Linked DNA regions of Drosophila melanogaster. The protein of the gene in region 1 interacts with the protein of each later gene in a pairwise test. Each region holds a gene or a part of one and is shown in the gene's direction. Other genes may lie near its edges.

The links. The genes of interacting proteins can lie anywhere in the genome.
Region 2: the proteins of CG13272 (region 1) and CG11269 interact in a two-hybrid assay, tested with the Drosophila melanogaster proteins (one large-scale study listed by BioGRID).

What each region holds. Positions count from the first base shown.
Region 1 is NT_033779.5:16,802,971-16,808,272, forward strand, and holds the start of CG13272 (uncharacterized protein), read left to right. Parts: upstream 1-1,913; 5' UTR 1,914-2,292; intron 2,293-4,345; exon of another isoform or gene 4,346-4,809; intron 4,810-5,302. Other genes in the region: CG13280 (uncharacterized protein), read right to left, coding at 1-233, 301-705.
Region 2 is NT_033778.4:22,137,115-22,140,041, forward strand, and holds CG11269 (uncharacterized protein), read left to right. Parts: upstream 1-1,780; 5' UTR 1,781-1,827; coding exon 1,828-2,151; 3' UTR 2,152-2,181; downstream 2,182-2,927.

The sequences.
Region 1 (5,302 bases):
TCCCAAACGGTTTCGCAGTATCTGATGCCGCAGGTAATGATAGGCGGGCACGCATCTTGGCCACATTCCCTCCATGAGGAACAGGCCGCGCGCCCGCGCCTTCTCCAGCAGCTTGGTCACCTGCTCCTCCGTCATGCAGAGCGGCTTTTCGCACAGAACGTGCTTGTCGTGGTTCAACATCAGGTGGCACAGCTCCGAGTGTTGTGGATTCAGGGGAGAGATGTACACTACATCTGCGCTCGAATAAAGTTATCAGTAGGTAGATGCTTCACAGAATGTAATAGAATGTAATAAACTCACCGACATTTGGACACTTGGCCAGATCCTCGAAGCTGGTGTACACGTTCTCCACCTGATGGCGCTCGGCGAAGGCGAGCGCATGCGACTGATAGGCAGCCACGCAGGACACGATGCGATGGTGCTGCTCGGGCAGGACACTCAGCGCCGCGGCAAAGTCATCCGCCATCAGGCTGACGGGTGCGATGCCCCAGCGCAGCGTTGGACCCTCGTCCACCACCCAGACGCCCCTTTCGAGGATCCCCTTCGAGGCGGCCTTGGAGGAGGGAAACCGATTGATGTGCAGCTGGCGTGGTCGGTGTCGCCACATATTGTGGTCACCAATATCGCAGCCAACGAATCTGAATCTGCCCCGGCTGCCATCCGACTTGCCTGATGAACTTGTGCCATGACCTGTGGGCAGGTGATCTGCGGAGCGGTTAGTAGGAGGTATTACTCACTTCGACCAGAGAAAACTGCACTTAGAGAAAATATGTTAGCAAAGTGTTAACAATTGTTTAAAGTCACTTTTGAAGGATCCCAAATTAAGATTTAATATTGGTTTTAAAAAACTACTTAAGTCAGTAGCTATTCATTTTGTTGAATATTTCTATTTATATTGTATTAAGTTAGTATCATATTTTTCAAGTGTACAACTGCTGGTGACGATCGGTATCTACTTTGTCGCGTAAAACGCATTTCATTCATACAATCGAGCGCTTTTCCACGAATTGGCGAAATTGCGGGTGTTGGTTTTGGCCGCCGGCAACCGGTCCGAACTGCGCTCCATCCGTGGACATGGACCGTGGACCATCTACGTCGAAACCGAGACGACGGGCGCATTATGTGGCGCTGTTTAGTGCGTCAGTTCCTCCATAATTAGTCATATTTGTTTAGCATCACAACTTGTGAATGACTCGCTGCCGCTGGTTGCAGCTCAGTCAGGTTTTTAAGCCGCTTGTTTTTATGTTTGTTGTGTTGCTTTTCTTTTACATTTTGTTGGTGTCGATATTGTTGTTTTTTGTTGTTGCTGTTGTTGTCGTATTGGCCTGGTCCTGGCCAAGTTGGCCAAGTTGGGAGCTGCCTGGGCCGCGCACTTTGCGCTTCGTTCTGTCCGCATTCGAATTTCACTTTCTTTTTTAGAAACTAAACATCGGACTGCTTGTGTATTTATCACCGCACTGCCAGTCGAATGAGTCGCTGCACTTTGATAAATACATTGATAAATAATTTAAAAAAAACGCATCTAACCTAATCAAAATTCGATTAATTACCAGCTTAACAAGTACTTAAGATGATATTTAAGATACTATTTAAATTCAAAGTGCATTACAAATGTAGTAAACATATATTTGCCTTGCATATTTCTTCTATTCTTGTGTATGATAGAGCATATAAAATTCGGTTTTTTCCACAGCTCAACCTGCCACCTTTCGCGGCTTATTTCACTTTTCAATAACTCGAGTGCGTGCAACAATGTACGGCAGCGAGTGTCCGCTTCTGTGTGCGAGTGTCGATGGTGCGTCGCAACAAAAAGCAAAAATTTGTTTATCTAATTAGCAATGCGCCGGGCGACGTCTTTTCGGGGCGGCAGTGCTTTTCACCTAATTTTGCATGCATGGCAGGCGGTGCAAGTGGCAAGTCGATGGCCGTAGAAATTGCCCTAACCCCAAATGCAAAGCGATAAAAATATGTGCGAGCCGCGTCTTCGTTTGGCCAGTGAACGAAAGTGTTCTATGGGTGTGCAGACGCTCCAAAAAAAAAGGAAAAAAAAAAACTGCTGAAAACCAACCAAAGTCCAAAATGAGAAGAAAACACAAACCAACTCTCGCCCCGTGCCGGAAATGTCTTTGTATAAGTCATTGCAAGTGCGAGTGTGTGTGTGTGGGTGAAATTATGTGCCAGTGAAAGGTTGCCTAATTTCTGTCATTAAGCTACACGGGCACGAGCAGGACATAGAAATGCACTCAAAAACATTGAGACAACATTAGATCGATCAGAAAAATATATATATAAGTTATCTTGATTATGTTAAAGAATTTTATTGGAAGTTTTTAAAATAAGCCTTAATAAAGGATGAATTTATGTACGAAAGAAAATAATCCTAACCGCATCCAAATTTATTTATATTTAATTTATTTATTAATTAACTTCCTCGAAATGTTTGTTGTAACCAAGAGCCACTAAACTCCTGGAAAATATGTTTAACATTGATTGCATTCCTTTGCATATTGTTTATAGTGTAGCAGGAAGTGATGGGCGGGGGGTGGAGGGGTACGCGACAAGAGCTGACAGCCGGAGCACACAAATTTGCCATGCGTGTGTGTTTTGATGACTCTTTCCCGAGAGCGACGACACGGCGGAGACGACATGTTCATTAAAGCCGTAGCAGCGTCATCTTGGCCGCCATCAGTTGCCGGTTCCTCTGGTGCACCGACAAAGCAAATAAATACTAAAATTTGCATGCCTGCAACATAAATCGTCGCAAAATATTAAACAAGTCAGCAGCAACAGTTGAAATCAATAAATTTATTGATACAATTTACACGGCCGAGTGGGCTGCCAGATAGCTGGCCACATGCAACATTGGCCGCATGCAACAACACATGCGCTAATTAAGGGGGTTCCCACTTGCTGGCGGGGGTGTCTTGGCAAATGCTGCACTTGAGATGGCAAGATGGCCTTGCAAGTGGCCACTGAACAAGTTAACGAGCCTGGCCAAATGACCAACTGACTGAGGAAATCCAATTGGTGATTTCAAGGCGGGAGAAAAGGAGGAAAACAAATTACCGTGGGGGGATTTAGTGAGTTACATTACAGTGATTTGCGATGATTTGGTCCTTACTCTGACTCGATTTCGCATCGGAGAAAAACAACCGTAATAAATTAAAAGTCATTTGACTTTAATTGTTAACTAATTTCGATTGCATTTAGTAATGTGAAATTAATTAAGTTGGTTTTTCATTCCTGAAAATGGGCCAAAAGCGTTGAATTTACTTAGTTCTTGTCAAAGTTTTCAGCAAAAAGAAAACAAGGGAAAAAAGAAAGTGGAATGATTTGCAAACATTTAATGTTCTGTGACGACAGGTATTTAGGAGTGTGGCTAGATATTTGCGTGTTGTGCCATTCTAAGTTTCGAAAGTCATGCGTCAAGTTCGTTGCCAGAGTCTTTCGATTTGCCTTACGCTTTTTGTGCGATGTTTTTGCAACACTGCGCCTATTGACACCTTCAACATGTCGAAAGAAAAGGGGGACAAAGGGAGGCTCTGTGGCCAGAAAACAGCATAATCTTTCCGCAGCCGTTGCCATTGCTTTTTTTATTTTATTTTATTTCTTTATCATACTGACGAGTTTCGTATGCATGTCTGTCGGCTTACTCTAATCTTCCCCTCAACTACGCACACGCCCAGCAGCAACAGCAACGCCAATTGACAGCCAGTCATGTCATGACTATTGCCAATTGTTTTTGCTGCCCAAAGCTTTTAACATATTTTACGACCCGATTGCCAGTAGAAATTTATTTTGGATGTTTGCTTTTTATGCAACAAGTGGCAGCGAAAGTGTAAGTTTTAGGGTATAGAACTAAAATGATATATTCCTTTGGATTTTAGAAGGAACCTACTTCGATGTTGGCAATAGAATTTTATTTAGTCTTTTTTAAAATCGAAATTTCTGCAAATATCGAAAGATAATAAAATCAAACCTAATCAGAATTCTTGGCTAGCAGCGGTAACATGTTGCAGGTAGTGAAAAGTGAGTCTGCCTTTGGGCAACGACTACAAACAGGCAGCAACAAAAGCGAAAAGACGACAACTTTGGTGACGAAGTCGACGGCGCTGCCAACTGCGCTGGCGACGCGTGTCTTTATGGATTCGCTTTGGCCAAAAGCGTTGGTCAAAAGCGTTGCGACGGCGGCAACACCACGAAGACAAGTGCAGGCTCTTTGCTTTTCAGCTGGTTCGATGTACCTGAAAATCTCAGCCGAAGCCGAAGTCGAGTTGCTGCCTGCGTCGACGACGCTGCCGCTTTTAACAGTTTCGAATTTTAGTTTTGGCCAAGACCACGCGAAATCAGTTAACAAACGGACGCGTTTCGAAACGGATGCACTGGTTGGTGGCACTGGCAAAGCGAAGCGAAACCTGAAGCGCCTGAACCTCTGGCTCCTCCATAAAGATCCCAGGTTTTGTCCCAAAACCCGAGGCCGTGCGAATGTCTGTCGGTTTCGGCGGCAGAAGCTCGAAGAGCTGCTATCTTCATCGGTCGCGCTGGTCGCTTAAAAGTGAAATTTACTGAATGAAATGAAATGTCTTCTGGCCAGCCTCACTGTCTGGCCGATTGGCTTTGTGTTTGATTATTGATTTGTGACTATTGTCGGCAAGGAAGCGACTGCAAATTAGATTGCCGTTCCAAAAGGATTAAGAAATAACCTACTACGAGTACAAATTATAAAAGACTTGACTCGCGGAACCGCTAAAATATTTGTTCCTGTGCCAGTGACATTGTCGATTGGCCAGTCGATTGGCCGGGAAAAAGGTGATGTAAGATCCTGCATAGATTGTGTAAGCTTGTGAAAGTGAAAGAACAAAAGATGTGGACGATTATTTTGAACAAATTTAATAATATATAGAACTAGAAAAACTAATGGAAATCTTAACTTTCAAAGGAGAAAAAATGTTTTTTTCAGATACGTATGTATCTAATGGCTAATGAATATTTATATGACATACATGCCACTTTGCTCGATCGTTTGTTTAAATCGCCTAACATCTTATAATCCTACGTGTGATTTGAAGAAACCATGTACGACTATTTATTGCAATTGAGTTAAGCTTGAGTTTAGTCTTGATAATACTTGAGTACTCACTGAACACAGATCTATGAGGCTTAAAGTTACTTTACATTCGATGAGAACTTTACTTTCCAAACAAAAAACAAACACTTAGCTAACGATACTTTTCCCATAAGGTTCCAAGACTCCTTCAGATATAAAATTTCCCCAAAATTACTGCTCGTAATAAATCAAAGT
Region 2 (2,927 bases), on another chromosome or scaffold:
ATTCGTAAAAACATGTTATGTTTAAATATCGAGAAGTGTCCCAAAGTGCGAAACAAACCGATTTAACAACAAATGCCCAAAGCGAATCACAAACGTGAGAGAAACAATAAATATATAAAGTGAATTATTATAGCATAAAATGAATTATTCTCTTATCAGTGTGTACATTATATTTTCATAAAGCACAAATAAAATTCAGTGAAGACATTAACAAATTCAAGCTAAAAGTTAAACTGAAAGCTAAACACTTTTTTTTGTTGAAATTGCAATTTTTTTTATTATAAATGTTTGTACTGATAATTGCGCTTACAACAAAAACGAATACACAAATCAAAGCAAGTGTCTGTGTGATTGTAAAGAAGAATGTGCTAAGCAAATAAGGCAAATAACAACCATATAACTGTAACTGAAATCCCACACTGAGAAAATAATCAGCGAAGAATAATATTTTGACATCCGTCTCTTGAAATATAAGATCAAACTTTAGGTTAATACTCATTAGAAATATATCAATAAGCTATGAAATATCATTTAAATAAAAATGTAGTGATCTTATTTTCATTTTTCTTCGTGCTCTCATAAGACAAGTTGATTGATTTGCGCAAAGGGAATTCGAGACACTTAAGATATTACCAAGTTCAGTGAGCAACCGCCCTAATGTCAAGGTCTTTCGCTTGGGGATCGGGTTTTAACCTAATGGACTTGACCCCCATTTTCTGTGGCTGTACGAAATCCGCAGCTTAAGTTACCAGCAAAACATATTTACTCAATTAGAGCTGACACCTATTATGTCTCAAGTTGCAACACGTGGTGCAATAAGTAAAAAATATTTTATCAATTCTGTTTAATTTTCCTAATTTTTGATTTCTCTCTAATCGTGTCTAGTAACCCATAAAACTAACGACAATTCGCATAAACAAACATAATAAAGGAAACGTTAGTAAAACAACAGAGTGTAAAAAAGGTTTAGCAACCGCGAAAACGACTTACGAATTTTCACAACAACTTGATGTTTTGTAACGGAGTTTCAAGAAACTAGTAAAAACTTTATTGTGAATTCTTCTGCTGCTTCTTCTTTGCAAGTGTGGCAAAAATTTTGTTGCTCTGCGGATTTATCGAGAACATCAACCACTCACGGTAAGTTGTGCTAATTATTGCTTAAACTTATTTAGTTGGCTATTTTTATTGCAATTTCTTGAGCATGATTCACAAGGGGAATTCAAATCAGAGGCTGCCCTTTAATGAATCAGCTACTTGGTTGGCATGGCCTACATTCAGTTCTCTAAAAATCACTTCTGATATATAAATACGCAGAACTAAATGCAGCCACTGATTTGAAATATCAAATATATTGCAGGTCTTCGTTCTGCATAAGCTTGATGTTCTGAAGTATATTGTATACATCGTTTTTTTGACGTGCTTTTCAAGTGTTAATAAGTTGAGCTGCTTCTATATCATACTCATATGTATGTGTGCAAATGATATATCTGTCAGTTGTCCATCATTGGCTAAGATCAAATCCGAATCTAAGCCATTTCGAGTTGAACAAACCCAATCGCAACGCCGCCGAAAGCGAGAGGCACGGGTACGTGAACTCCATATTCCGACCACTCTGATCTAATGCCGCTGAAATCGCACAAGGTTGTACTTGTGTACGAGCGTATGTAGATAGATGGATGAATAGTATGTGGTCCAATACATTCCGATTTCGATTTCGGATTCGGTTTCGCTTTCGAAGTCGGCTTAAACTTGGCACCTGTTGCGGTCAGAGCAACACTCGACTACACTGTCGCACAAAGTTCGCATAGAATTGAATCGAGCTTGAAAATGTTTTGTGGTCGCAAGTGCTGTCTGTTCTGCCTGTTCATGAGCGCCTGGGGCTTCTTGATGCTGAATCTGCTGGGTATCTTCTTCTACGTCCAGTCACTGATGCTCCTGGAGTCCCTGCCCTTGCCCCACCACTTCCCCAGTCAGGAGGCCTTCAAGGAGCAGGCGGACGAGGCCTACCAGGACGTGTCCACACGGTGCTTTGTAGCCGCCGTTTTCTATCTGGGATTCGTCTTCATTGCGATAGTGGCCATTCGTCGGGATAACAAGAGAAGGAAGCGACTCTACAAGCGGGGTCCCGGTCACTTGCGATTCCGTCGTTGATTTGTATGATTGGTTATTGAATAAACAATTTATTTTCATGGTTCCAATTGCATTTCACCCACTCAGCGACGTCCACCCACTTGTTGGTTCGAAAGATCGAAAGAACCAGTTTGTTGACCGCATTCTGCGATTAGCCTTAACTTCTTTATCGCCAAGCCACTTTTCGATTTCAAGTCTGGCTGACTGTTGTCCACTCCGCATTATGCATTCGTCTCGGACCAACCGATTTTTGACAGCGCACGTGACACCTTCACCGAGGTGTGTTCTCTTTTGGGCATCATAAATTTCCGTGAAATTCTCTTTCCGAAACATGCTAATGGGAATGGGGTGTGGGTTCCCAGTTCTGGCTATTCCCCCCCCTTTCACCTCTATACCGTAGTCTAGTCTACACCGGGGTTATGTATCTTGTTCTTATCGACCGAGCTTTTGTGTCTTACACGAAAACCGTTGTGTAAATTATCGTACACGATTTTCTAGTTGTACGCTTGTGTATCTGGCTTGTTATCACCACCAACCAAGTGCAGTCTGCTGAAAACTGGTTCACTGCATTTACTCATTTTTTCGGGAACTCGGGTTAACTGATTTGGAGATCTGGCAATACCTGGGAAATATTCTAAATTTCCTCCATGGATGGTCTTCTATATAATTGTGCCACCCGAGAGACCGTACAATTTCTTATGCAGATGTAGAATCGTATTTTTTACGAATCTATGAAACACACTCGTAGAAAAGTGGTTCAATTCAGAAACATTTGATATTGACATCAAATTGAGATT